7 linked regions of the Xenopus tropicalis genome follow. The protein of the gene in region 7 purifies or fractionates together with the protein of the main gene of each other region. This does not show direct contact. Links are inferred from orthologs where the notes say so. Each region holds a gene or a part of one and is shown on either strand. Other genes may lie near its edges. The genes, in order: upf3a, upf1, ncbp3, rnps1, ddx39b, upf2 and rbm8a.

The links.
Region 1: the proteins of rbm8a (region 7) and upf3a purify together in Homo sapiens (co-immunoprecipitation; 4 studies listed by BioGRID and IntAct, with this or other methods). This does not show direct contact. The link is inferred for Xenopus tropicalis from reciprocal best matches to the Homo sapiens genes RBM8A and UPF3A.
Region 2: the proteins of rbm8a (region 7) and upf1 purify together in Homo sapiens (co-immunoprecipitation; 7 studies listed by BioGRID and IntAct, with this or other methods). This does not show direct contact. The link is inferred for Xenopus tropicalis from reciprocal best matches to the Homo sapiens genes RBM8A and UPF1.
Region 3: the proteins of rbm8a (region 7) and ncbp3 purify together in Homo sapiens (co-immunoprecipitation; 3 studies listed by BioGRID and IntAct, with this or other methods). This does not show direct contact. The link is inferred for Xenopus tropicalis from reciprocal best matches to the Homo sapiens genes RBM8A and NCBP3.
Region 4: the proteins of rbm8a (region 7) and rnps1 purify together in Homo sapiens (co-immunoprecipitation; 4 studies listed by BioGRID and IntAct, with this or other methods). This does not show direct contact. The link is inferred for Xenopus tropicalis from reciprocal best matches to the Homo sapiens genes RBM8A and RNPS1.
Region 5: the proteins of rbm8a (region 7) and ddx39b purify together in Homo sapiens (co-immunoprecipitation; 4 studies listed by BioGRID and IntAct, with this or other methods). This does not show direct contact. The link is inferred for Xenopus tropicalis from reciprocal best matches to the Homo sapiens genes RBM8A and DDX39B.
Region 6: the proteins of rbm8a (region 7) and upf2 purify together in Homo sapiens (co-immunoprecipitation; 6 studies listed by BioGRID and IntAct, with this or other methods). This does not show direct contact. The link is inferred for Xenopus tropicalis from reciprocal best matches to the Homo sapiens genes RBM8A and UPF2.

What each region holds. Positions count from the first base shown.
Region 1 is NC_030678.2:111,830,022-111,833,521, reverse strand, and holds part of upf3a (regulator of nonsense transcripts 3A), read right to left. Parts: intron 3,147-3,500; coding exon 3,048-3,146; intron 1,880-3,047; coding exon 1,769-1,879; intron 802-1,768; coding exon 746-801; intron 654-745; coding exon 495-653; intron 1-494. UniProt on the Homo sapiens protein: Involved in nonsense-mediated decay (NMD) of mRNAs containing premature stop codons by associating with the nuclear exon junction complex (EJC) and serving as link between the EJC core and NMD machinery.
Region 2 is NC_030677.2:98,881,279-98,885,244, forward strand, and holds the start of upf1 (regulator of nonsense transcripts 1), read right to left. Parts: upstream 2,801-3,966; 5' UTR 2,545-2,800; coding exon 2,374-2,544; intron 1-2,373. UniProt on the Homo sapiens protein: RNA-dependent helicase required for nonsense-mediated decay (NMD) of aberrant mRNAs containing premature stop codons and modulates the expression level of normal mRNAs.
Region 3 is NC_030678.2:48,492,125-48,495,624, forward strand, and holds part of ncbp3 (nuclear cap-binding protein subunit 3), read left to right. Parts: intron 1-1,918; coding exon 1,919-2,024; intron 2,025-2,860; coding exon 2,861-2,986; intron 2,987-3,500. UniProt on the Homo sapiens protein: Associates with NCBP1/CBP80 to form an alternative cap-binding complex (CBC) which plays a key role in mRNA export. NCBP3 serves as adapter protein linking the capped RNAs (m7GpppG-capped RNA) to NCBP1/CBP80.
Region 4 is NC_030685.2:21,739,514-21,743,513, forward strand, and holds the start of rnps1 (RNA-binding protein with serine-rich domain 1), read left to right. Parts: upstream 1-1,200; 5' UTR 1,201-1,318; coding exon 1,319-1,320; intron 1,321-4,000. UniProt on the Homo sapiens protein: Part of pre- and post-splicing multiprotein mRNP complexes. Auxiliary component of the splicing-dependent multiprotein exon junction complex (EJC) deposited at splice junction on mRNAs.
Region 5 is NC_030684.2:74,189,668-74,192,816, reverse strand, and holds the end of ddx39b (spliceosome RNA helicase DDX39B), read left to right. Parts: intron 1-554; coding exon 555-664; intron 665-739; coding exon 740-884; intron 885-964; coding exon 965-1,112; intron 1,113-2,183; coding exon 2,184-2,200; 3' UTR 2,201-2,649; downstream 2,650-3,149. UniProt on the Homo sapiens protein: Involved in nuclear export of spliced and unspliced mRNA. Component of the TREX complex which is thought to couple mRNA transcription, processing and nuclear export, and specifically associates with spliced mRNA and not with unspliced pre-mRNA.
Region 6 is NC_030679.2:82,322,579-82,326,078, forward strand, and holds part of upf2 (regulator of nonsense transcripts 2), read left to right. Parts: intron 1-151; coding exon 152-427; intron 428-781; coding exon 782-965; intron 966-3,500. UniProt on the Homo sapiens protein: Involved in nonsense-mediated decay (NMD) of mRNAs containing premature stop codons by associating with the nuclear exon junction complex (EJC).
Region 7 is NC_030684.2:142,190,208-142,194,345, forward strand, and holds the start of rbm8a (RNA-binding protein 8A), read left to right. Parts: upstream 1-1,338; 5' UTR 1,339-1,343; coding exon 1,344-1,410; intron 1,411-3,153; coding exon 3,154-3,213; intron 3,214-3,300; coding exon 3,301-3,378; intron 3,379-3,707; coding exon 3,708-3,844; intron 3,845-4,138.

The sequences.
Region 1 (3,500 bases), on a different chromosome or scaffold from region 7:
TAGGGAGATACAAATCCGTCAATGTTATTAAATAAGCTTAGCTCACATTTAAAAATATATCACACTACTCAAAATGCTTCAATTTAAATGTTTCATTTGAAGCAGAATTAGTCTTGGAGATACCACAGTTTAAAGAGCATCTAGCTCCTGGTTAATTTATATTGTACCAACACTCCACAGGGTGAAGGTGTTCCAGGCCCAGAATGGCAGATGCCAAAGGGGCTGCTGTATGATGCCACAGACAGTCACTATTGATTGAGCCTGTGGGGGAATGGTTGGACCTCGTTGTATGAAATGCCAGGGCCTATTTTAAATCTCAGTCCAGACCGGACCCATTCCCACAGGGAAAAGTGTGAAGCAATTTAGTCTATAGTTATCACAGGTGCTACACAAACATAACTGTCATAATAAAGTTAACATGTTTACAACCTTCCCACACTTCTTTTAACACATTACTGCAATGGATATAGGTATATAACCATGGTTTAAGTCACCTTAATTCTAATTTCTTTTTCAGAGATTTTCTTTTGCTTATCTGCTTCTTTCCGTTTACGCCTTTCCTCTTCTCTACGTTTTCTCTTTTCTTCTTCTCTTATCCGTTTCTTCTCAAGTTCACGCCTCCTTCTCTCTTCTCTTTTTTCTTCTCTTATTCTCTTTGAATTAAAAAACAGCTATTAATGCTTTCAGGGCTCATATACTGTAAAAGGCATCAATTTGTATTTATTATTCGGCATGAAATGGTTACCTGTTTTTCCAGTTTCCTGTTCTTTATAAATTCCAGTAGAGGAGTTGTTCTTCTGGCTAAAAACAAATTTACAGACAAATCACATTCCTCAATTTGATCTAAAACTATAAATAATTTATAAGGATAATTATGGCAGTTCCAGTGTAAACATAAAAATTTACTTATTTTTCACACTGTCTCAAACTTGGCTGCCATGTAGGTTAACTTATGCAATGGAAGAATGTAGTCTATTATTTTGATGTCACTGACACATCTAATAAAATCCAAAATGGAGAGCTCCTGTGCAAAACTCCAGAAGGCCTGGATCATCACTGTTATAAAATTCTGCGTTATGGATTTAATTTTACTTTAAAGGACAAGGAAAGCCTAATTTACACCCTGATGTCACCTTACATGTCTCTCCTATACATCCCTTGTGAAGAATAAGGCTTGCACATGTGCGGTAGTGTAATATCGGATTTTTTTTTTTTTCCCAAAGTAGTCTTCCAGATCAGCAGGAGAACCAGGCTTAGGTAACTGTTTCAAATCATATTATTACATTTAAAAATCATGAAAAGGCTACATATTTTTCAGTCAGTTGATGTATATTGCAAAATAGCTTGAAATTATATTTACTTTTCAAAAACCTAAAGTTGTGTTTGGGTGGAGTTAAGATGCATAGAGATGCCTAAAAATAGACAGAAAAATAGCAGTCCAGCACTTCTTTAGCACTGGACCAGGGTACCTAACATTTTGACCCCCCACAGTGAATTGGGATTTCCTTGTCCTATTGCCAGAAAGTGGCCCATGGGTAAGGCCCCATGGATAATTGGTCCTGTACTGATGTCACACCCCAGTATCCATGATAATATTAGTGCCTGTACACAGCCACTCTGGAATGGCAGACCATCAATACAGAATTTTCATCAAAACTTGCTTTTAGAAAAATACCAGTTAAAAAAAAAATCTTAAAGGAGGATGTAAATCTTAAGCCATAGCATTTAACCATTACAGCACAATATCATATGTATTTGAAAAACTTACCAATTAGTTCCTTTGTTTTTGCTTCAATTTCTCCCAGCAGAGTCTCTGGATTTGCATAAACTTTCTCTTCCTCAGCACAGTAGTTTTCTAAAAATTTCTTGTACTCAAGGTCTAAAATTTAATTAATTAATAAATTAAAGATAGTAAAAGGAATTATTGCTTATCTGGACTGAAAATGGATGCAAGGCTTGCAAAAACATGAATATGGGCACTTTATTAGTTATTAGTGTGTTTACATATTTATTTTAGGTTTGCTAAAAACCTTCATTTGTTGTGTGCATTTTTGCAAAAACATGAAGACAAGAACAAAAACCAATGTCCTTGCTCTTAACCCTAGTACTATGTAGTGCTGTATAAAACTATGTGGTTTATTTGCCAACACTATACAAATTTGAACCTGGGAGAGTAAGTGATAGCAACCAATAAGTGGTTAGATTTTTTCAACCAGCTGAAGTTAGAATAATGAAAGCAAAAGTTAATTGGTAGCCAAAATTACTATCTGTGTGCAAATGTGTCCATTGCTAATAAATTAGCTTCTGTAACTGTACAACTGTGGCTGCTTTGGCTATTCACTAATGTTAATAACTGAATGGCTATGGAAAACGGCATCCTAGGTGAGTTGCTTCTAAGGCTATGTACACGTGGTTTGAGAATATGCTTTTGCCATCTTAACACAAGCATTTTTATAAGTAAATATATGTGCCAAAGTGGTCACAATGTGCTTGTATTATATGTTTTTATACATTTTACAATATATCACAGTCCTAATATTAATTCAAATGTGTCAGATGCAAGAAAATTATGTATGCTGAAATAAAAAAAATAACTTAAAAACAAAGTTGATTGAAAATGCTGAGCTATGAGTACACTACTCTTTGCAGCACAATTTTTATTTAAATACAGTGTGCTTAAGTAGTAGTAACAATGCATCTAAAATGCATGAATTTTTGCACTCCTAAAAAAAGACTAAGAATTCTCACCTATAAGTTAATCTTTCCTACTCTCAGTGATACCTTGCAGATGTCTTTTACAACAGGGGTCCCCAACCGCCGGGCCGCGGATTGCATGGCAGTGGGCCACAGCGCACCCCCCCCCCCTACCGGCCCATGGTGCTAAAAAGGTCGGGGACCCCTGTTTTACAAGAGTGATGTAGCAGTATGTACATCTGGCACACTGCTTGTATACGTATGTCTTTTTTTACCCCACCTAACATGCATACATATTTCTGATAGCAACAAACTGCAAGGCATATTTATGAACATAAAATTTGTATCCGTGCCTTCTGCTATACTTCCTGCTTTTGCATCTTTTTTCTTTAGCTTCTTTTTAGAAATCTTTTGGAAAGGAGCAAATTCAACCACTGCAGGGTATTCCTGGCCTGTGAAAAAATAAAAAGATAAAAATAATGTTAAGTGATCACAAGGGATTGAAAATATTTTGCAAATGAAAGGCATATAAAAGACATAATGGATCACTGATGAGGCAGAAATTTCTGTTCTTCACACTGATTTTTGTATTGTGCCTCCATAGCTAATCACAGAAGAAATCAATTGTATTCAGATGCTTAGCAATTGGATTCCCTTGGGGTTGTCTAACATACTGTCACCAGTGAATCCATCTTTGCTTGTTCTTTAAAGGGCACACTGTTCTGGATACACTATATGTTCTATGTATTACTGCCATATTAAAAAAACTGGAGTAATACTTTGCATGCACTTACTCTGTGATGTGT
Region 2 (3,966 bases), on a different chromosome or scaffold from region 7:
AGGTCCCTGGTAAGGCCTCACCTTGAGTATGCAGTGCAGTTTTGGGCTCCAGTCCTTAAGGATATTAATGACCTGGGAGAGTGCAGAGACATGCAACTAAAAAACCTATAACAATATGGTTAGTCATGGTCCCTTTATTGTGACTGTTTGGACTGATCACTAGAACTAAATAGTTATTTGTATTCAGTGTAAATTTCTTTTCTTATGATACCAGAGCTGGAGAGAGTGCAGAGACGTGCAACTAAACTGGTAAAGGGGATGGAAGATTTAAGCTCTGAGGTTAGACTGTCGAGTTTTTGAACAAGCATAGTATCCAAGGCTATTGTGATACTAATATCTACAGTTAGTATTAGTGGTTGTATATATAGTTTATGTATGTGATAGTATAGATTGGTAAGTATAGGTCTGTGTTTACTTGGAAGGGTTGAACTTGATGGACTCTGGACTTTTTAAAACCCTATGTAACTGTATAAAATATACGTTATACTAATTTTCCCTTGCCTTCAAATGTCAATCCACTTTACGGTATTTGTTACAGATGGATGATCAGAGATACTGTGCTATTATTGTGACCACTTTTAATAAAGATTTAAAAAAAAAAAAACACCCTCATTTGTATAGTAAATTTGTTGTATGTTGTGAACATGGCATAGTGTTTTAAGCATCATTTCCAAAAAGCATAGTAGAAGCTACTAGCAATAGTAATATTTCTTGGCAAACTCATTAAAGAAGCACAAATTGTAACATGTAAAGATGCTTCCCTTTATTTTTTAGGAGGTAGAAATATTTGTCCTTGGTACTACGCGCCCATTTAACATCCTTTTAGAATCTGCCGCTAATTTCTCTTCCTACCAATTATGAGCCCGCACCCACCTTACACACCCCTTTTCAACCCAGGCTTTACCTGGTGAGAGATTGAGAAGGGACAGAACCTACCACCATAACAGACATCAGAGATGACTGACTAGAGTTGGAAGAGGACCACGATTATTTTTCACAAAATACCTTAAAGGAACAGTAACACCAAAAAATGAAAGAGCTTTAAAGTAATAAAAATGTAATGCACTGTTGCCCTGCCCTGGTAAAACTGGTGTGTTTGCTACAGTAACACTACTATAATTTATATAAATAAGCTGCTGTGTAGCCCCGGGGGCAGCCATTCAAGCTGGAAAAAAGGAGAAAAGGCACAGGTTACATAGCAGATAACAGATAAGTTCTGTAGAATACAATAGTGCTTTATCTGTTATCTGCTATGTGCCTTTTCTCCTTTGAATGGCTGCCTCCATGGCTACATAGCAGCTTATTTATATAAACTATAGTAGACTTTCTGAAGTAAACACACAACTTTTACCAGTGCAGGGCAGCAGCACATTATATTTGAGTTACTTTTATACACTTTCATTTTTTGGTGTTACTGTTCCTTTAACAGCATACTTAGGGCATTACAGGAAAGTTTTGGGCCATGCTTGGTCCTCTTATGAGCTTGATAAAGGGCTAAACATTGCCTGAAACAATGCTGTCACTTCCCAAGTGCAATAAAAACATTTAATCTGAAGAATAATTAATTTGCTGCTTCAACTCAAGTCACTTGTGTACCAGTGGCCATTGGAGAACGTGCACTGATTTGAAGTACTAACCATTTGTTATTTGCTATCCATTTGAGATGCCATCAGAAGGGGCAAGTTCCAGAAACATTATTTCACCAGCAATAAGGTAAGTGTACAGTGTACAAATGAAAAGTTGTGTGAGTTGCTGATGTTCAAAGATACTCACACAATTTGTGACAGTCCATTTTCCAGCCCACAAGCAGCACTTTGATGTATCGGCTTTTATTTTGCGTCAATGCATTTCATTTCCATTAGTCCCTGACCCAGTGGAGCTCACAATCTGTTTCTATGTGAAAGACCTCCTAGGATAGAGAACCTGAAAGCCACTATTCCAACATGGAATAAGGGACTGAATAATGTGTCAAGTCAGCGAGGGATACAATGAGTTCGATTATCCATTTTGCTTCTATCGCATATGAACAGTACATAATGTACAACTTTTGCCCATTAGGTAGGGGTTGAACTACAATGTAAGAGTCGCGACCTAATGTAGAAAGTTGCGATTCAAACAAAGTTGAGAGTTAGCAATTTAACCACGAGTATAAATAACTATTTTTTAGCTTTCCAGCCCTGTAATACAACTACGTACACGGTAAATATAACGTAACATAGACAAAATCGGAAATCATCTGAAGTTTATAAAGAAAGCACATTTTGAGGGCACTCCATCCCGCTACCTTAATGCCGCCTGGCAATGGAAGCGGCAGCGACACACGCGAGGCCTGACAAGCACATTCCCGCCCCCGGAAGCTGCCATGTCTCTCACCTGCCCGTCCAGCTGGTTCTGGCTTTGCCCTTGTGTCTGTGTCTGGCTAGGCAGCGTGAAGTCTGTGAACTCAAACTCTGAGCCCTGAGTGTCGGCCCCGAGCAGCTCGGCCTCCTCCGTATCCAAGAAAGTGAGGGTCTGCGAGCTGGGCCCGTACGCCTCCACGCTCATTGTGACGGCCGAGGAAACAGGAAAGCGATTAATTTTTTAATCCCTACACAGCTTTAATGGAGTCCCCAAAGGCTTCGATGCCACCACGAAGCGCTTATCTAATAGACACGAAACACGGGTAAAAAGAAAAAAATATGAACTGCCTCCGACCGAGCTCCCTCCGTCCTGGATGACGTCAGTCGTAGCCGCACAGGAAGGAACGCGCTTGCGCGCCAACGTGACGTAATCACGTTGGGACGACAGCAGTAGCTATTAGTTGCTATTGACAACAGGGCTGGTGTCAGTTATTTGTTGTTCAATAGTAAGATTCTCGGGCAGTAAGACGCGCTATCAATATGTAATTGGGTTATATCGGAAGAGGGAACGGTAGTATAGACGGCAGAGGCAGAACTTGTTTTTAATCTGGGCGGAGACGAGTGACGTAACAGACACGTCGGCACCTACTAAGCTAGGCTGATATCAAAATGAGTTTAGCAATTAAACGAGCAAAGAGATGCAAATGTTAGCGCCAGCGGAAGAGATTGTCCTATATGCGTGCGATAGTACTTATTAGTTTTGTGTAGCGATACTAATTTTCTGCATTTATTTATCGGGGCCGGGCCCTGTTGGTTCCTGTCATGCAGCATAGGCATGATAATTATGGCGTCTTCAGTTCGGGAGAAAGAAACTTGAACACCTCCGACAGGGTTACCTGGTTTTGAACGAAATAAATTAGGTGTTTACTTGGAAAATCAGAAAACACCATATCTTCGTATGAGAGTTGTCTGACATTTGCAGGAATTGGTACAACTTAAAAAAAATCTAAAATGTGCAGTCCTTTCACTGATCTGAGCAAAAACTGCTGCAGTATTGAGTGAGCTTCCTTATGTAGAAATATGTTGGTACTAGTTATTCTTATTGCACTGGGGGATTCCCTGTGCCAAGAGGCGAATGCACATGTTGCAGATAGGTTTGTAGTGGCGCAATAGTTTCCTGCGAGAAGGCAGCCTTGTGAAATATTGGACTGTAGTCTTCACAATACAGTGGCTAATAAGTGATAATATATCATTGCAGGGGTGCTAAGCAGTGGGCATAATCAACTACAGAGGCCTGGCCACTAGGAATAATGGATTGTGCCATCTGTCCAGATGACCATAATGGAGGATGGAAAGTTGGTATCTTTACACAGTGACGAGAAAGGACTGTAGAGGGGTTGCCCAGTAGCAGCTGCTAAGCATTTGACTGTAGGAGACTGCCTTTGGGTAATGCGATCAGCAAGCCCCTAGTAAAATATATTTTTTATTTTACACATACAGTGGACTTTTTGTGCTTTATATCAGTTCATGCAGGAATAACTATAAATTGTTGTTTATTTCTGAGACTGAGCGGTCGATTTTTATCATTCCTTGATCATTTTACCCAGTAGTAAAAATAATTACTGCT
Region 3 (3,500 bases), on a different chromosome or scaffold from region 7:
TTCCTGGCAAAACGAACCATATAGCGAATTTCTAGCACAAATTAATGAAAATTTTCACCATTTGCAAAACCTCAAAATTATACTGCAAATCAGTATTACAAGAAAAAATTTGCACACTATTAAAATGTAATTATCTTCATAGTGGAAAAGTTTAGAATGATACTTAGAAATACAGTTTATCTTCTGATCTCTGCTGTTGCTACATTTTTCAAATTAATATAGTACATACAGCACTAAAACTGCTCTACAAGTAATACATAGGAGCCCTTCATTTTAGCTGATATCTAGGAATGGTCAGTTTGAACCTTATTCTTAGGTTTGATTAATTCTCGTGGATAACAGATCAGCCTGCACCTGTTGTGTGACATTTCAAATGTGTCTGTGCGTTTTTTTAAAAACTGTATGGTCAGAATAAATACAAATGTGTTTTTACACCAGAGCACAATTTAGAAGGAACATTGTATGCAGTTTATGCACCATTTTATGTCTGTGAGCTTGCAGAGACAGTGACTGGTATTTTAGCTGCCTCTACTGCTTTCATTTCACTCCAAGCACACACACGCGTATATGACTAGTGTGTATTTAGTTCCTGTCTGCAGTGACTCAGATTGGTGTGAAAGGGAATATTTAAAGGCATTTAAGACCACAGTTACAGTTTTGTTGTTCTATGCATTTCTCTTGGCTTTTGATACCTCCTGTGAGTACAGGTTTTTGACCTCTTATCCAGAATTCTTAGAACCTGGGGTTTTCCGGATAAAGGATCTTTCCATAATTGGGATATCCACACCCCAAGTCTGTTTGAAACATTCTACCATGAAATAAACCCAATAGGATTGTTGCCACCAATAAGGATTAAGTATATCTTAGTTGGGATCAAGTACAAGGTACTCTTTTACTATTACAGAGAAAAAGGAAATCAATTTTAAAAATTAGAATTATTTGATTAAAATGGAGTCTATGGGAGATGCCGGTCACAGTATTCCTCCATGTATGTGTGTGTATATGTATAAATGCAATGTATTGTATATACTCAATGAAATGTTACTATACCATAAACGTTGGGCTTTACATATGTTTTGTTTAATATACTCGTCATAGGCATAAGGCATCATATGGGTGAAATTAATTGAGGGCAGTAAATCCATGGCTTACAGTTTCTAATGGAAGTAGAAAGGGTTTAGAGAATGCATAAATAAGAAGGAAAATGCAGTGGGATTGTAGGAGTCAGTGTGAAATTACAGGAAGAATCAGTAGTGGGGCCGAGGTAATTTAGAGATGAAAAACTGGCATTCAGGGAGATAGAGGGTCTGTAATAAGGATGGTGGATAAATAAGGGGAGCATTATAAGATTTTATGACAGTACTTAACTATATATTGCCATATAGCAAAGCAATGAATTACATGCAATGCATTAGTAACTGGTAGATTGCACTTGCATGGAATGTTTGGTGCACTGGACCCCCATAAACGAACCCAGGCAGGTGCTTGTGTAAGAACTTATAGCTAGTAATGGGTTATTGCATAAAAAGTTTCAAACATGCGACCCATAAATGCTTCCTACAAATTAGTTGCTTTGAGTTATAAGACCTGTCTTATTTTATGATACAAAACTCTGTTTCCATTGTTAGATGCAATATTATACTTTCCTAATAAACACAAATAAAGACTTTTAAGCAAGGGGATCTCCTTCCTTTTGTCTTTTTAACACTTAGCTGTTAAATCTTTGTAACTGTACTTTTTATTAGTGTAATTGTATTGACCCTATTCTATGAATTTATTGTGCTGTACAGCACTGTGTACATATGTAGCACTATATGAATAGAATTATACATACATAAAATAATTGTAATCACAGGCTGCATAATGGAGTTAACTGATTGCTGTTAGATACTAACTCAGTGTTGGTTTTGTTTTTAAGGAGGCTATCGAGAAAAAGGAACAGAGGGCAAAGCGGTTTCATTTTCGAGCAGAAGTCAGTGACCAACAAAGGAATGTGGTACTAGATCGAGAAATGATTAGAAAAGGTGGTTATGAGAGGCTTTTCCATTGTAAATTACCTATGGGTGCTATGTGTTGTCTTTAGTGTTGCATTTAGTTATTTGATCATTTAAAGGAGAAGGAAAGGCTAATAAAGAGTTAATCTCTAGCTGCAGGCATACCTTCAGTTCTCTCAATAGTGCCCTTAAGTCTCCCAATATTTCACCTGTTCAGAAGATCTGAAGCCAAACAGGAATAAAAAACGCAGAGCTAGATAAAGAGGATTCGCATAATGCATTGCTCGTGCATTGACTATGTGAATAGGACACTAGGTGGCGCATGCACATTGCTCGATCTTAGTAAGAGAAGCCTGCGAGCGGGCGGTGGTGTTCGATCGCCACGGGGCGGTTTGCAAGCGGGGGAATCCAGGAATCCAAGATGGCGGCTGTGACAGGCTGCAAATACACCTAAGTTACAAGCCAATTTTTGTGAGATGTTATTTTATTTTAAAAAATAAATTTGGTGATTTGCTTTGGGCAAGGGAGCTCTACACTATATTAAGGGATACAACAGTAGTAGCCTTTCCTTGCTCTTTAACATCATTGCTTAAAATTGCCAAAAGAAAATTATTTTTTAAATTTTGCTTTCTAAAACAAACCCTTTCAGATTTTGACACTGTTTTGCTATATACCTTGCCAATACCGTTTGCCCAAGGGTTAGGTCTGTTCCTTGGCAGTAATAGAATTGTACCACCAGATATATTTACTGCCAACAGTGATGTTTAAAATAATTTATGAGGCGGTTTCCTCCATTATCTTTGATTTCTTCAGTTTATGAAATGCAAAAGAAAAACTTCTAACATGTTTTTTCACTATTTCCTTAGCAATCCCCAAAGTCCGCCTTGAAACTCTTTATGTCTATGGTGTTGATGATATGAGCACTGAGGATATCTTTGCCTTCTTTAAGCAATACCCTCCAGGATACATTGAATGGCTGGATGACAGCTCCTGTAAGTGTATTCCTATTTTGCTAGATGCTTGGATAGAATTCATTTTTCTATACAATACAGAATGCCATTTGTTATGAGTGCATATTGGTGCAGTAACTACGATTCCAACAATCCAGTCTTGTTTTAGCCTTCTGATCTTACTTTCAAATACACCTGAAGCCTTAAAACAGTCTCAATAGTGCCATTATTTGTATGTCACTTTTTCTGTATCTAAAGAGAAACATATTTTCTGGTGATTGTGTTTAGTTCTAAAAATGTTCTTTTTCTGGAATAGTTTTAACTGTTTTCATTTGCAGATAATATTAAAGAATATCCACAAGTGCTCCTAATATATTTGGTATGGCAGCAATATCCATTCCACAACTCTGATAGCATGTATCATTTCAGTTCTTCCTCAGAAACTTAGAGATGGACACCAGTGCTGAATGCAGAAAGATAGCTCTGGATCTGTTGTTCTGTAGTCACCAGTAGTATAAATCCCATTTGTAGAAGGGGTGAACTAATTAACACGTGC
Region 4 (4,000 bases), on a different chromosome or scaffold from region 7:
GGTACTTTTATTTCATTGCTTGCAACTAATGATCTGAAGAAAACAGGAGGTTGGTGTTAGAGTCATGAATAAAACCAATATCATTTCTCACTACATACATTAGGACACAAGTAATTCTGACCCCTACCCATGATAAAACTGCCCAGTCCTTCTTTATACGCAGTCATCAGAGATACAGACACCCACTCCTCATATGGGAACATACCTTTCACTTCCAACTAACAGACATCAGGGCACCTACCTCTCACCTCCTCCTAATACATCCACAGAACCTGCTTCTCTCCCCACCTAATAAAAATAGGTCAGGGGGCTCATTAAAGGTGATGCTGATACCAATCAAACCCTTCAGGCAGGCAATTCTGTGTTGTGAGTACAGTAACTGACCCTTTAAGTTCTCTGTGGATTTGAGTGTAGCATTAAAAGGAATATGCACCTTATTTATAAGAGGGGAAATATTCCCTTTATGAGAGGACAGATCAGAACAGCTTCCCTCCAAACCTTAGGGACCTTCTGGAAGGTTCAATGAAACCTTACTGAATCCTGTACAATGTATACAAACCTTATGCTTGCCCTAGGCGACCTAAGTAAGGTTTATGGATGCCCTTTATAACTCAGGCAAACCTAAGGGTTGCCCTGGGCAACTCTAGCGGGACTTATGGTGGCCTTGACAACTCATGCAAACCCCCTAGACAGCCGGGTTTATGGGGGTTCCCAACAACTCAAGCAAACCTTATGGGGAGCTAGACTAGTTGCACTCTTTTTTCCCAAAGGTAAAGGGTCACCCTTGCTTTTTGTCACACTCACCACCTTATGGGCCCCAAAAGTGCGACGAGACACGTAAAGCAATCCTCCCATCCGGAAGAACTAACATCCCTGCACCTCTCCTAACACAGGCCACACTTGCCTTTATAGCGGCTGTCCCTCGCACCTATCTATATACCGACGCGTAGTTGTACTTCTGGCACAGTTTCTTTATAACCATATCGCACTTAGTGTTTGTTTACGGAGCAAAACAGGAAGCAGCATAGGTTTCCGCTCCGTGCAATAGACATACACGCACACATATTAACCCCGTCACTCCTAGAAATGACAATTACTAGTAATGTTCCTGCTGCAACTCGGGACTATCCTACTTCTTTAAAAGGCTGAATCGCATTTGCGTCCGCTGTTGTGCCACGCCCACGTCCAGCAATGTGTGACGTCAGCGCCAAGGCGACCAGAGTCGCTTATCTTTTGTTTCAAGATGGCGGCGACACGTCACAACGAACGCGACGGTTTATCTGATCTTAGAAGGGACAGGCAACGAAAGAGCGGCAAAATGTAAGCGGAGCTCCATAATCTTTTTCCATCCTGCAGCGCTGCTTTCCGTACGAGTTGGATATTGGTGGGACGGTGCAGGGGAAGCATGGCGGGTTCTATTCACCGATGTATTGATTAAGAGAGAGCAGGGTGGTGTTTGGGATTGGCCCCGAACGCAGTACCGAGGATTTATGGGGGTATAGGCCGCAGCTGATTGGATACACATATCGCTGCGTCTATACCTTCCTGGGGAGTTGTTTCTTCTGCACACTATTCCCTTTGTATATGGGTTTGGGCGATTTCTTCTTTATGTAAAATGAATTCTTTCTGAGCTTGCACTGGTTAAATTGTTGTGTTTATGTAAGGGGACAACAAAAATGGCTGCCACTGCTTGACTGCCCCCGTCTAGGGAAGGCTGCCTTGTATTTCTCTCTGGGTATATTCCCTCAATGTGTATATGCTTTGCACTGGATTTTTTCATTCATTGATATGTGCTGCTGCCCTGTGGGTTTGCTTACGTTTTGTATTGGGGCACCATTAGTTTTAGTGCTTTAATATATGTATTAAATGTCTGGAAAAACCTTGGGGTTCTTGGATCTCCAGTAATTCTGTATTTATATAACAGCAACATTATACTCCATTTACATCAGAACCTGCCCCAGTCTAAGGGTTACATATAAACTCCTTGTAGATAGTGACCCCCAGCTGGAATTGAACATTAGGACCCCAGCGCTGCCCAAACGTACTATGCTCTACCCCATTGTTATTAAAGGAACAGTAACACCAAAAAAATTAAAGTTTTTTTTTAAAGTAATTATAATATAATGTATTGTTGCCCTGCACTGGTAAAAATTGTGTTTGCTACAGTAACACTACTATAGTTTATATAAATAAGCTGCTGTGTAGCCATGGGGGCAGCCATTAAAGTTGGAAAAAAGGAGAAAAGGCACAGGTTACATAGCAGATAACAGATAAGTTCTGTAGAATACAATAGTTTATCTGTTATCTCCTATGTGCCTGTGCCTTTTCTCCTTTGAATGGCTGCCCCCGTGGCTAAACAGCAGCTTTGTTTATATAAATTTCTGAGGCAAACACACCAGTTGTACCAGTGCAGGGCAGCAGTATATTTTATTATTATTTTTATACATTTTCATTTTTTGGTGTTACTGTTCCTTTAAGTGCCACAGTTGCATGGATATAGGTGTTATAGGGCCACCATGGCATTTTAAATCCCCCCTTCCTTGTTTTCTAATTGTTCAACTTATCAGGATAAAGGTTTCAAGTGTTGCCTGCAAATTAATGAGGAGGGATTAAGGGCTCTGGTACACGGGGAGATTAGTCGCCCGCGGCAAAACTCCCTGCTCGCGGGCGACTAATCTCCCCGAGTTGCCTTCCCTCTGCCATCCCACCGGCGAACATGTAAGTCGCCGGCGGGATGGCAGACGCGGCGGCGCGATTTCGCGCAAATCGCCGAAAAAGACTCGCGAGGCTTTTTCGGCGATTTCCCGAAATCGCCTCGCCGGTGTAAGTCGCCGGTGGGATGGCAGAGGGAAGGCAACTCGGGGAGATTAGTCGCCCGCGAGCAGGGAGTTTTGCCGCGGGCGACTAATCTCCCCGTGTACCAGAGCCCTTAAGGAGAGATACAATACAAGGTGGTGGCCATAGCTATGTTGTACATATATGCTTTGAGGTTGGGGAGAGTCTGAACCACACTGACCTGCGTGTTTCCAGTACCCATAATAAAGCCTCCATCTGCGTTTACACAGACCAACATAATTTAACTTTTAATCGCTGTAATAACCGGTACATGTTACTCCCACTTGCATTTTTCAGCTGTTTGACCCTGTATCACCCTTACAGGAACATTCTAAAAAAAAAAAAGCAGTTGCGCACCAGATGAAGTGCTCAGCTGTACGCGGCTTAAAGCGGAAGTCAGCGTTTTATTGTAAAGGTCTGATTGGTTGCTATGGGTAACATCACCACTGAAGTTTGTCTCCAGGGGTAATAAGTACGCCCTTAAGTGATTCTCCAGAATGGCCGTCCTGCTCATAATTCAGTAGGCAAGTGTGCACTGCATTGGCAAGCAGGGTACTCAGTGCCCAAGAACCCCCAATACCCAGTTGCACCAATGCTGTAGAAGGTTTGGAGATCAGCAAAGGAGAGATTTTCATCAGGAGTGCAGCACTGCTGGCTGGGTACTGGCTCTTAAGGCACAAACCCCTATAAGAAGGCACTTTGGTTCCCAGAAGCAGCCACATAATACAGCACTGACACTCCACTAAGCACTGGAAGGCATTATTTTTCATGGGAGGAATCGGGTTTCTTGTGCTTCAGGCTGCTCTAGGTTGGATAATATAGTTATTATTAGTTGCCTTGAAAGTGCCATCTCCAGGATATATGGTACCCCCACTCCAGTGAATATAATCACTTACCTGATACTCTGGGCCAGACATCTGTGTGCTGAAGAGTGCACCAGCCTGGGGCTTAAGAAAAGATTGCAGTGTGGCACTCTTACAGATGTACCCTGGGCCAGTGCGTTTTTCAGCAAACAGGAGCACTCGCCTGGGGTATTAGCAAAGCGTTGGCAATTACTGGAGTGCACCTAACATTTGGCACCCCCCAGTGATTATACATTTCCTTCTCCTTTAATCCCATGCACCCCACCAGTTCTTTAGCCCTACCATCCTAGCGTATCACCTGG
Region 5 (3,149 bases), about 68 Mb from region 7:
ACTTTTTGAATTTTTTGGATATCAACAGTACATTATATTTCATTTACTTTAAAAAATCTTTGGTGTTACTGTTCCTTTAAGGCATTGAAATGTTTTTGTTTGTATTTGAAAATAAGTTCTATGGCATAAGTGGTATTTTGAGTGCCAAAGCTAGTGATCCTGAGCTGTGCTATATGCTTATGTCAGGTGTATGCCTACAATTTGAGGTTTGCCATCGTATGACTTAAGACAAGCATCCTCAAACTACAGCCAGATCCGGCCCCTGCTTTGTCCTCACCCCTGGCAGCGGGGAGCTGGGAGATAGAGAACGGAGCAGAGAGCAGGAGGCTGCAGCGGGGAAACTTGGAGAGGGAGGAGGCAGGAGTGTGCTGTAGTTTGACCCCGCAGTGGGGAGCAGGCAATGAGAGAGGGCCATAGTTGGAGGACTATAGTCCTGCCCCCCCAACATTGTGAGGGGTCATAAACTGGCCCGCTGTTTAAAAAGTTTGACTTAGGATGACTTTGAATTGGTGAGCTGCATCTGGGTCCCATATTTTTAATAAACTTTTACACAGGTGGTGATCTTTGTGAAATCAGTCCAGCGCTGCATCGCACTTGCTCAGCTACTAGTGGAACAGAACTTCCCAGCCATAGCGATTCACCGTGGCATGTCACAAGAGGAAAGGTAGGAAGAAAAAACTAGGATTTTTTTCTTTTCAAAGCAGAAAGATTTATAATTTCTCTTATGTGAAATTTGCAGGCTCTCACGCTATCAACAATTTAAGGATTTCCAGAGGCGAATTTTAGTTGCTACAAACCTGTTTGGCCGTGGAATGGACATTGAGAGGGTTAACATTGCTTTCAACTATGATATGCCAGAGGACTCTGATACGTACCTGCACAGGGTCTGTATTCATGGCATTAGCCTGTAGCACATCTGTATCTTTGTGAGTGGTTCATTTACTAACAGTCATTCTTATGACAGGTGGCTCGAGCTGGCAGATTTGGTACAAAAGGTTTGGCTATTACATTTGTCTCTGATGAGGGGGATGCTAAAATTCTAAATGAAGTTCAAGATCGTTTTGAAGTTAACATCAGTGAGCTGCCTGATGAAATTGATATCTCCTCGTACAGTGAGTTTGCATTTTGAGTGTTCCTTTATAACACTATTGCATAGTTGATGTATGCCTTCTCTCACTTAAAATCTTTACAATATTTGTGATTTTGGTGCTTCAAAATCAATAACTTGGTTTTACAAAGATTGCTAAAGTATGTTTGCCTTCGTTTCTACTTAATCTGGTCCTATCACTTAGTGAGGATATAATAACAGTAGCATGTTGACCTGGTTCTGTAAGCCCGCATTATTCAGGGGGCCAATGACCTGATCATCCTGATTGGGTCTGTGTGTGGGTTGCCAAATCAGGCAAGATGTTAAGGCATATAGCTATACTTGCCTAATAAATTAGCTTGCCTTTAAATTGTGGTGCGCTCAAAGAATTTTGTGCTACGCACACCTGCACACACAATTTATTTTTTTTCCGGACACAGACAAGAAATTAGAGGGAACATTGTTTCAAATCTATTTTAAAGGAGAAAAAAAGGTAAAAACTAAGTAAGCTTTATCAGAAAGGTCTATGTAAATGCAGCCATAAGCACTCACAGAAATGCTGCACTGACTTCTGTCAAAAGATTTCTTGTGTCTGTAATTCATGTGCCAAAGACACACAGCTCTCTGCTGTCTCCTCTTTCCTGCTCCCCCCTCCCTCAAGAATGCTAAGAACTCACTCCCCCCCTTTAGGAATGTGGATCTGAGCCATTCAGCAGGAAGCTGACTCATAGTCTGAGCATGTACACTTTGGTCTCGGTCTAGGAGTGAGGCATTATGGGAACTTGCTTTACACAGCTCAGCGTTTTTTCTTCCTGTTTGGCTTCTGATCATCTGAACAGGTGAAATATGGGGAGACTTAAGGGCACTATTGAGACAACTGAAGGTATGCCTGCAGCTTGAGATTAACTCTTTATTAGCCTTTCTTCTTCTTTAACTATAGAGGAGGGATTCTAAACCTATGGTTTATGACCCAAAAATTGGTTTCCATGCTGTTTCACAATCCCGCTAAATAATGTTTTTTGTTTGTGAAGCCAATTGTGCAACATAATTTGAGCCCCCAAGAAAAAAATTTTAAGAACCACTGCTCTTCTTTCAGTTGAACAGACACGGTGAACCTGAATCTATTCTGCTTCCTGCGTGCTGCTTCCCTCTGCATTGGTTTTCTTCTAAGCGTGGGAAAAGGAACTCACCAGCCAAAATGTCACCGAAAGAGCCTGGAAGACTTTCTTCATCCAGCCCACATCTGTGTATTGTACATTGAACACAGCAGCACACGTCTTTAAATTCCCTTTAAGGGTCCTGCAGACTACTGCAACAGTGGTTAAAATAACATAGTAGAAACTTCCAGAACCCATATAATCTAGTTCCATTTCTGTTGGTATTAATAAAGGAGCAGTGCTCTGTGGGTTTCTGGTATAGTGTTGTATTTGATTAGTTTTATACCGTATCCAGTGAGGATCAACTTTTGTTTAGTAACACTGCTGTGACCGGTGCTGTCACTGACTTGTATTTTGTGAATTTATGACAAGAACATGTCACAAAAAAATAAAAGTTACTACAGATGTGATGTAATTTTATTTTTCATTGTTGGCTAAAGTAACTATACAAATATTTAAAAAAAACAAAAAAAACTGAATTTAAAAAATTACAGAATTTATAAAAGAAGAGCAAAGCATTATTTCTTGATGGTGGGGCAGGGTACAAAAATAAACTGTGTCATTGCAGGTTCTTGCTCTTCCCACACATTCCATCAGTGTTGCATTCATGAGGGGTGGGCAGCAGGCAGCCTGTTGGCTTCCCTTTCCTGCCCCCTAACTTGCTCTAAGTTCAGAGTTAGCCTGGCAGGAGAGGGAGCCCTGTACTTATCGCCTGCCTTGCATCCACAAGGGATGCCTTTTGCACCCTGTGCCACATAAATTAATGAAAACCATTTTTTTTTTTCAAATAATTAAAACAAAAGCAAAAATTATGTTCAGCAGAAGCCCTTTTCATTAAAATCATGCTGGACAAGGGGGTATGATGTCTATTTAAAGGAGCAATATGCACCTTTTTTTACATTAAC
Region 6 (3,500 bases), on a different chromosome or scaffold from region 7:
GACCAGTGATCTCATCCCCTTTAAAGAAAGTTTTTCTGTACAGTTGTTTCACATTAAAGTAATGAGAAATCAAATGCAATATCTGTTAAGAGTAAAAGTAATGAATAAACTAATGTATGCATTGTTGGCTTCCTAAATTTTTTTCTTGTAGGTTAACCAGCCAAAATTTAATCAGCGGAGGATAAGCAGTGCAAAGTTCCTTGGGGAGCTTTACAACTATAGAATGGTGGAATCTGCAGTTATATTTCGCACACTTTATTCATTTATTTCCTTTGGTGTAAATTCTGATGGAAGCCCCAGCCCACTTGATCCTCCTGAACACTTGTTCCGCATTCGATTAGTTTGCACTATCCTTGACACTTGTGGCCAGTATTTTGACCGTGGATCAAGCAAGAGAAAGCTTGATTGTTTTCTTGTTTATTTTCAGGTATGTAACTGCAACTTAAACATATCTCTTCATAATTATATGTGAGGTGTCAATTGATTTAGAAATCTTGATTAAGCTCTCTGTTTATTATTAACCAGAATTGTTTAAAACTTAATTGAAGACCATGCTACACTAGGGACATATTTTTAATAACGTGACATTGGAATACAAAATCATGGCCACTTCAGTGCGCAAGGTACACTGCATGCATTTAGACATACTTATAAAGCTGTGTAATGAATTTTAGATTTTATCTTTCTGTTTGAGTTAGATAAATTGTTAACTTCTTTACAAAGAACTTAGTCTCTTGCATTAGTCAGTTTCTGATTTCACTTTTTATGTGTCTTACTTTAGCGCTACGTTTGGTGGAAGAAAAGTCTTGATGTGTGGACTAAAGACCACCCATTTCCAATAGATATTGATTATATGATAAGTGATACCTTGGAGCTTCTGAGGCCAAAAATGAAGCTCTGTGCCTCACTGAATGAATCTGTCCGCCAAGTGCAGGATTTGGAGCGTGAGTTTCTGACAAAGCTAGGTAAGAAAAACAGCTTCTTGTTAAACTTTTGCAGAGAGCTACAAAGGGCTATTGCACACTAATTTACATGTTTCATTCAATCTTAGACTGGCACTTTTGCATTAATCAATAGAAATAAAGATTATAGCGACCTTAATAGTAGTATGCCTTGCCTACAAATGGTGGACAAAAAGAAACATGAAATTAAAAAAAAATTATCATATCAATCACAACTACAAAGGTAGCTCATAGTAAGTTGATTGCCAATAAGCTTTATAAGTCGTTCCAAGAGTTCCAAGGTGATACGAAACCGTCTTTTAAGCTGTACAAACAATCTTATTGCAATGCAGGGGCATCAGTCTCATCAGTCCCAAACTCATACACCTCTCCTCCCGCTCCACAAGTGCCGCCCCTCTCTGCCACTTGCACTGGCTACCTGTCACATACAGGATTCAGTTCAAGATTCTCGCACTCACCTTCAAAGCGCTCACTGGTGCCGCACCACTCTATTTAACCACCCTAATCGCCAAGTACACCCCCAGACGTAACCTTCGCTCTAGACACAACCTCCTTCTCTTCTCCTCACTCATCACCTCCTCTCACTCTCGCATCCAGGACTTCTTACGCGCTGCACCTATCCTCTAGAATGCTCTTCCCCATCCCATTAGGCACTGCCAGACTCTGCAAGCCTTTAAATGGTCTCTTAAAACTCACCTTTTCACTCAAGCCTATAACCTAAACCCCCCAAACATTCACTAACCACTTGTTTTCACCTCTCACTCTGCACTTACTGTCACTTTACATACCTACATGATCTCTAACTCCATGCTAGTTACCCGACCTTATGTCTCAGCCTTTCTTTTTAGAATGTAAGCTCTTGCGAGCAGGGCCCTCCCCCTAGTTTCTCCGATCCTCATCCAATGTAACTGCAAACCATTTTTTGTGAATTGTTTATATGTACATGTTAACTGTTCTGTCTTTTGTACCCCTCTCTTCTGTAAAGCACTGCTTAAATTGATGGCACTATATAAATAATAATAATAATCAGTCACAGTCGTAAGTTGAGCTCCATGGCTTGTATAGACTGACACTTTCCAAGACTTTTCCAAGTATTTATACAGTGCAAAATAGTAACAGGGTGTTTTAATAAGCATATGTATGACCCTTTCTTAAAAAAAACAGAGATGCATAAAGCTGTAACTTATTGTAGGGTTGCCTTTCAGAACTGCTTGTGTGCAAGGGCATTGCACAAATAACCAGGATCTGGTGTAAAGGGCACAGAACCCAAATCTAAAGGGGTGGCCAATGGTGTGCTGCCCCTATCTGCCTATAATCCCTTCTAATGTACTTGTACAGAGTAATCGTGTCCTCTCGCACGCACCTTTTTGCCAAAGAAAACAACCAAACTTGATAGTCTAACCAAATAGTTTAAATTTTCTATCCCCTTTACCATTTTTGTTGCACGTCTTTGCACTCTCTCCAGCTCACTAATATCCTTCTTAATGACTGGTGCCCAAAACTGTACCGCATACTCAAGGTGAGGCTTTACCTGAGACCTATAAAGAGGCAACATTATGTTTTCATCCCTTGAGTCAATACACTATTTGATGCAAGACAACACTTTTATTTAATGATTGCTCTTTATGGTTGTATATGGGCCAAGGAATTTGAGGTCAGTTTGCTGTTTTATTGTTCATTCATGATGTTCACGTATGTCAAGTTGAAAACTCTCCCTTAAGACACTACTAGATTAATTTGAGAGTTTTGTATTTTTGCTATTTTGTCCATCCCCTTAATATTGTCTGGAGAGAAGTTTCATATGAAAAATGTCAAACTACTTTGAAACTAGCACTTATATTGCAGTGTCACCCACTGTAACCTACAGCACTTATATCTGCCTATTTGTGTCTGCTAAGTTACCCTCCCATTTAGATTGTAAGCTCTACAGAATCCTCTTGATTCTTACTTATTGCAACTGTACCTTGTATTTATTGTTATACTTTGTATTTATCTATTATTATTTCAATAACCCCCTGTTGTATTAACATATTCTACTGTACAGCGCTGCGTACATAAGTAGCGCTTTATAAATAAACATATACATACATACTAGTACTTCTTGGCAACAAAATATGTACAATGAACAATCTGTCAACTATTCAGCATATGTATGAAAATATGTTTTGGGTTTTTTTGTTTTTTTTCCCCCCTAAATACTGGTACTTTAATAGCACTGGGAAAATGTGCACTAACACATAGTAACCTGTAAGTGATTTTTTTTTCAGGCATTTAGATTTAGACCTATAAAAGCAAAGATTTGATTGTTTGCCATGGGTCAGTGCCCAGGTGCAAATCTCCATTGTGTTAAATTGAATAGCAGTGTAAAGAACTGTTACAGTGGTAGGAGCTCGAAAGATAGGGTGTTTATGCATTAAATTATGTATATTTCACTAGGAGAATTTGTGATGTTTTTACCAGTAGATGTAGGTAAGGCTTTTATTAGAACTCCTGTTCTTTAATTAAAAAAAAATTAATGAGAAATAGGGTACAAGTGTG
Region 7 (4,138 bases):
TGTCGTTACAGTAAGGAACCCCTTCCTATGCTAATGGTGAGATCTCCTTTCCTCCCCACCCCCAATGTATCACTCATTCCCCCTCTCTTGGTAGGGAACCCCATAATCTGACTGTCGTTACAGTAAGGAACCCCTTCCTATGCTGATGGTGAGATCCCCTTTCCTCCCCACCCCCAATGTATCACTCATTCCCCCTCTCTGGGTAGGGAATCCCATAACCTGACTGCCCTTACAGTAAGGAACCCCTTCCTATGCTAATGGTGAGATCTCCTTTCCTCCCCACCCCCAATGTATCACTCATTCCCCCTCTCTGGGTAGGGAATCCCATAATCTGACTGTCGTTACAGTAAGGAACCCCTTCCTATGCTAATGGTGAGATCTCCTTTCCTCCCCACCCCCAATGTATCACTCATTCCCCCTCTCTTGGTAGGGAACCCCATAATCTGACTGTCGTTACAGTAAGGAACCCCTTCCTATGCTGATGGTGAGATCCCCTTTCCTCCCCACCCCCAATGTATCACTCATTCCCCCTCTCTTGGTAGGGAACCCCATAATCTGACTGTCGTTACAGTAAGGAACCCCTTCCTATGCTAATGGTGAGATCTCCTTTCCTCCCCACCCCCAATGTATCACTCATTCCCCTTCTCTTGGTAGGGAACCCCATAACCTGACTGCCCTTACAGTAAGGAACCCCTTCCTATGCTGATGGTGAGATCTCCATGTTTTCAGTCTAGGATGAAGTGCTGAAATAACCGGGGAATGAGTTGCCCCATGCCAGTAGGCAGAGTAACTACAGATGTTGCATTGCTGATGTTCAGGGACGAGGCAGACACCATTACTGTAAATACAAAGGGTCCATAAACCACTGATCCCACAGGGGATATTCACTAGAGTCCATATTTACTATGTTTACAGATGAATTCACTGTTACATGTTGGTGCAAAAAGGGGGCGCAAAGCCAGAAAAACACTGATAAATACCTTCTTCGCAACTATTTCCATTTACACCCCCACAGGAATAAAACCAATACTAATTGGATAGAATCATGTATGCTAACAGAGGCTTTCCTCAGATTACATACAGATAAACATTGCATTATATAAAACACAAGGTGCTACTGCTCATCTGATTAATACATCTCTAATGTACATTTAATGGGGCCGCTTCAGTACTAAACCTAGCCAGACCTCCCCAACATGGCGCGCAACTGGAGGACATTTCGTCACTTCCGTCATAGTGGCGCTTTCTTTACTACGTAGTTTGCCGTGCCGGAAGCTGTTGTTTAGCGCTGCCGAGAAGCCGAGCTTCAGTACGCGGTAACTCGGAGCTGGTCGGTAGCGAACATGGCGGATGTGCTGGATTTACACGAAGCTGGCGGGGAAGACTTCGCTATGGATGAAGATGGGGACGGTATGGCTGCGTGTAGGGCTGGTGTATAGAGTGTGCCGCTCAGTAAGGAGGCCGGGAATGAGGCCTGGTGCTTGCGGGACTGATAGGGATGAGCGCTCAGAGAGGGTACAGCACAAGGGGGGGGGGGGGGGGGGATAACGGGGACCACGTGGTTTTATAAAGGCTGCTGGGAAATTGTGCCGCTTTCAGCCTCCCTGTGGGCTTTTACGTTTTACAATATTCTCTCTGGCCAACCATTTATTGTTATCTGTGTGTGTCCCTACCAAGAGAGGGGGAATGAGTGATACATTGGGGGTGGGGGGGGGAAAGGGGATCTCACCATCAGCATAGGAAGGGGTTCCTTACTGTAAGGGCAGTCAGGTTATGGGGTTCCCTACCCAGAGAGGGGGAATGAGTGATTCATTGGGGTGGGGAGGAAAGGAGATCTCACCATCAGCATAGGAAGGGGTTCCTTACTGTAAGGGCAGTCAGGTTATGGGGTTCCCTACCAAGAGAGGGGGAATGAGTGATACATTGGGGGTGGGGAGGAAAGGGGATCTCACCATCAGCATAGGAAGGGGTTCCTTACTGTAAGGGCAGTCAGGTTATGGGGTTCCCTACCAAGAGAGGGGGAATGAGTGATACATTGGGGGTGGGGAGGAAAGGAGATCTCACCATCAGCATAGGAAGGGGTTCCTTACTGTAAGGGCAGTCAGGTTATGGGGTTCCCTACCCAGAGAGGGGGAATGAGTGATTCACTGGGGGTGGGGAGGAAAGGGGATCTCACCATCAGCATAGGAAGGGGTTCCTTACTGTAAGGGCAGTCAGGTTATGGGGTTCCCTACCAAGAGAGGGGGAATGAGTGATACATTGGGGGTGGGGAGGAAAGGAGATCTCACCATCAGCATAGGAAGGGGTTCCTTACTGTAAGGGCAGTCAGGTTATGGGGTTCCCTACCCAGAGAGGGGGAATGAGTGATTCACTGGGGGTGGGGAGGAAAGGGGATCTCACCATCAGCATAGGAAGGGGTTCCTTACTGTAAGGGCAGTCAGGTTATGGGTTCCCTACCAAGAGAGGGGGAATGAGTGATACATTGGGGGTGGGGAGGAAAGGGGATCTCACCATCAGCATAGGAAGGGGTTCCTTACTGTAAGGGCAGTCAGGTTATGGGGTTCCCTACCCAGAGAGGGGGAATGAGTGATACATTGGGGGTGGGGAGGAAAGGGGATCTCACCATCAGCATAGGAAGGGGTTCCTTACTGTAAGGGCAGTCAGGTTATGGGGTTCCCTACCCAGAGAGGGGGAATGAGTGATTCACTGGGGGTGGGGAGGAAAGGGGATCTCACCATCAGCATAGGAAGGGGTTCCTTACTGTAAGGGCAGTCAGGTTATGGGGTTCCCTACCAAGAGAGGGGGAATGAGTGATACATTGGGGGTGGGGAGGAAAGGGTATCTCACCATCAGCATAGGAAGGGGTTCCTTACTATGAGGGCAAGTTGTGACTGCAGTTTGTATAGAAGGCAGGGTGAGTGAATAAGGAGCCTTTATACTGTGGGGTTGGCCAGACCAGTGGGATTGGGCAGTAGGACAGTGAGAGTAGTATTAGTTGGTTCCGGTCTATTGAAATGAAGTAATGAACTGATGAGAAGCCTCTTGATTAAACTGGATTTCATTGGACCTTGTAGAGGTTATAGGTCATGTGACTGGTGGTGCCGCCATATTGGTTGGAGTATGACTGGTAATGTACGTTTCCTTTGGTTCCAGAGAGTATCCACAAACTGAAGGAAAAGGCCAAGAAAAGGAAGGGCAGAGGATTCGGTGCAGGTAGGTCCCTGATTGGCTGGTACAAGCGCCAGGCTGTAGGGTTACTTGTTGGCGATGGAGTTCACTTTGTTGTCCTTTTGCTTTAAGATGAAGGCACCAGAGCGAGGATCCGGGAAGACTATGACAGTGTGGAGCAGGATGGGGACGAGCCGGGCCCCCAAAGATGTAAGTGCCCCACCCCCCTCTCCCTGTCATTTCTGTTATACGGCCCCACAGAACTGCCCTTGTGTAGGGACCCCGGCGCTGCCAGTGCTGTATGGGGGTACGCCCGCAGAAACTACTGCTGCACTGCATGCTGGGAGCCCTTAGTCCTCCGTGCTGGAACCCACTGCAGCCTGAAAGCAGAACTCTTTATTGCTGCACTATGGTTTGTGGCCAGGGGGTGGCACTGTTGCTCTCTCCCTGTCTCATTTACTTGGGCTGAGACACAGAAGGCGGGGCCTGTTGGGGGGAGGTCCTATCACTGTATAACGGGGTGCACTCTCCCCCCGCAGCTGTGGAAGGCTGGATCCTGTTTGTGACCGGGGTGCACGAGGAAGCCACAGAGGAGGATATACACGATAAGTTTGGAGAATTTGGGGAGATCAAGAACATCCACCTGAATCTGGACCGGAGGACCGGCTTCCTTAAGGTGAGTGGTTCTGTTCCAGTCATTTGGGCCGGGTTAATATTCTCACCTTGTTCCGTGTTGAAGAGATGCATTATGGGACTAAAATTCCCTCTGCTTCCCATAATCCATCACTTCTCATTGGAAAAAGGTGAGGATTGGCTTGAACCCATTGGGCTATTTTGGATCAGGATTCATTGTCCCCTTTGGGTAACATTTAATATGATGTCACTATTTTGAGACAATTTGCAATTGGTCTTCATATTTTATTACTGGTAGCTTCTGAATTATTTTTATTTCAGGGCTGTCCTGTTTGCA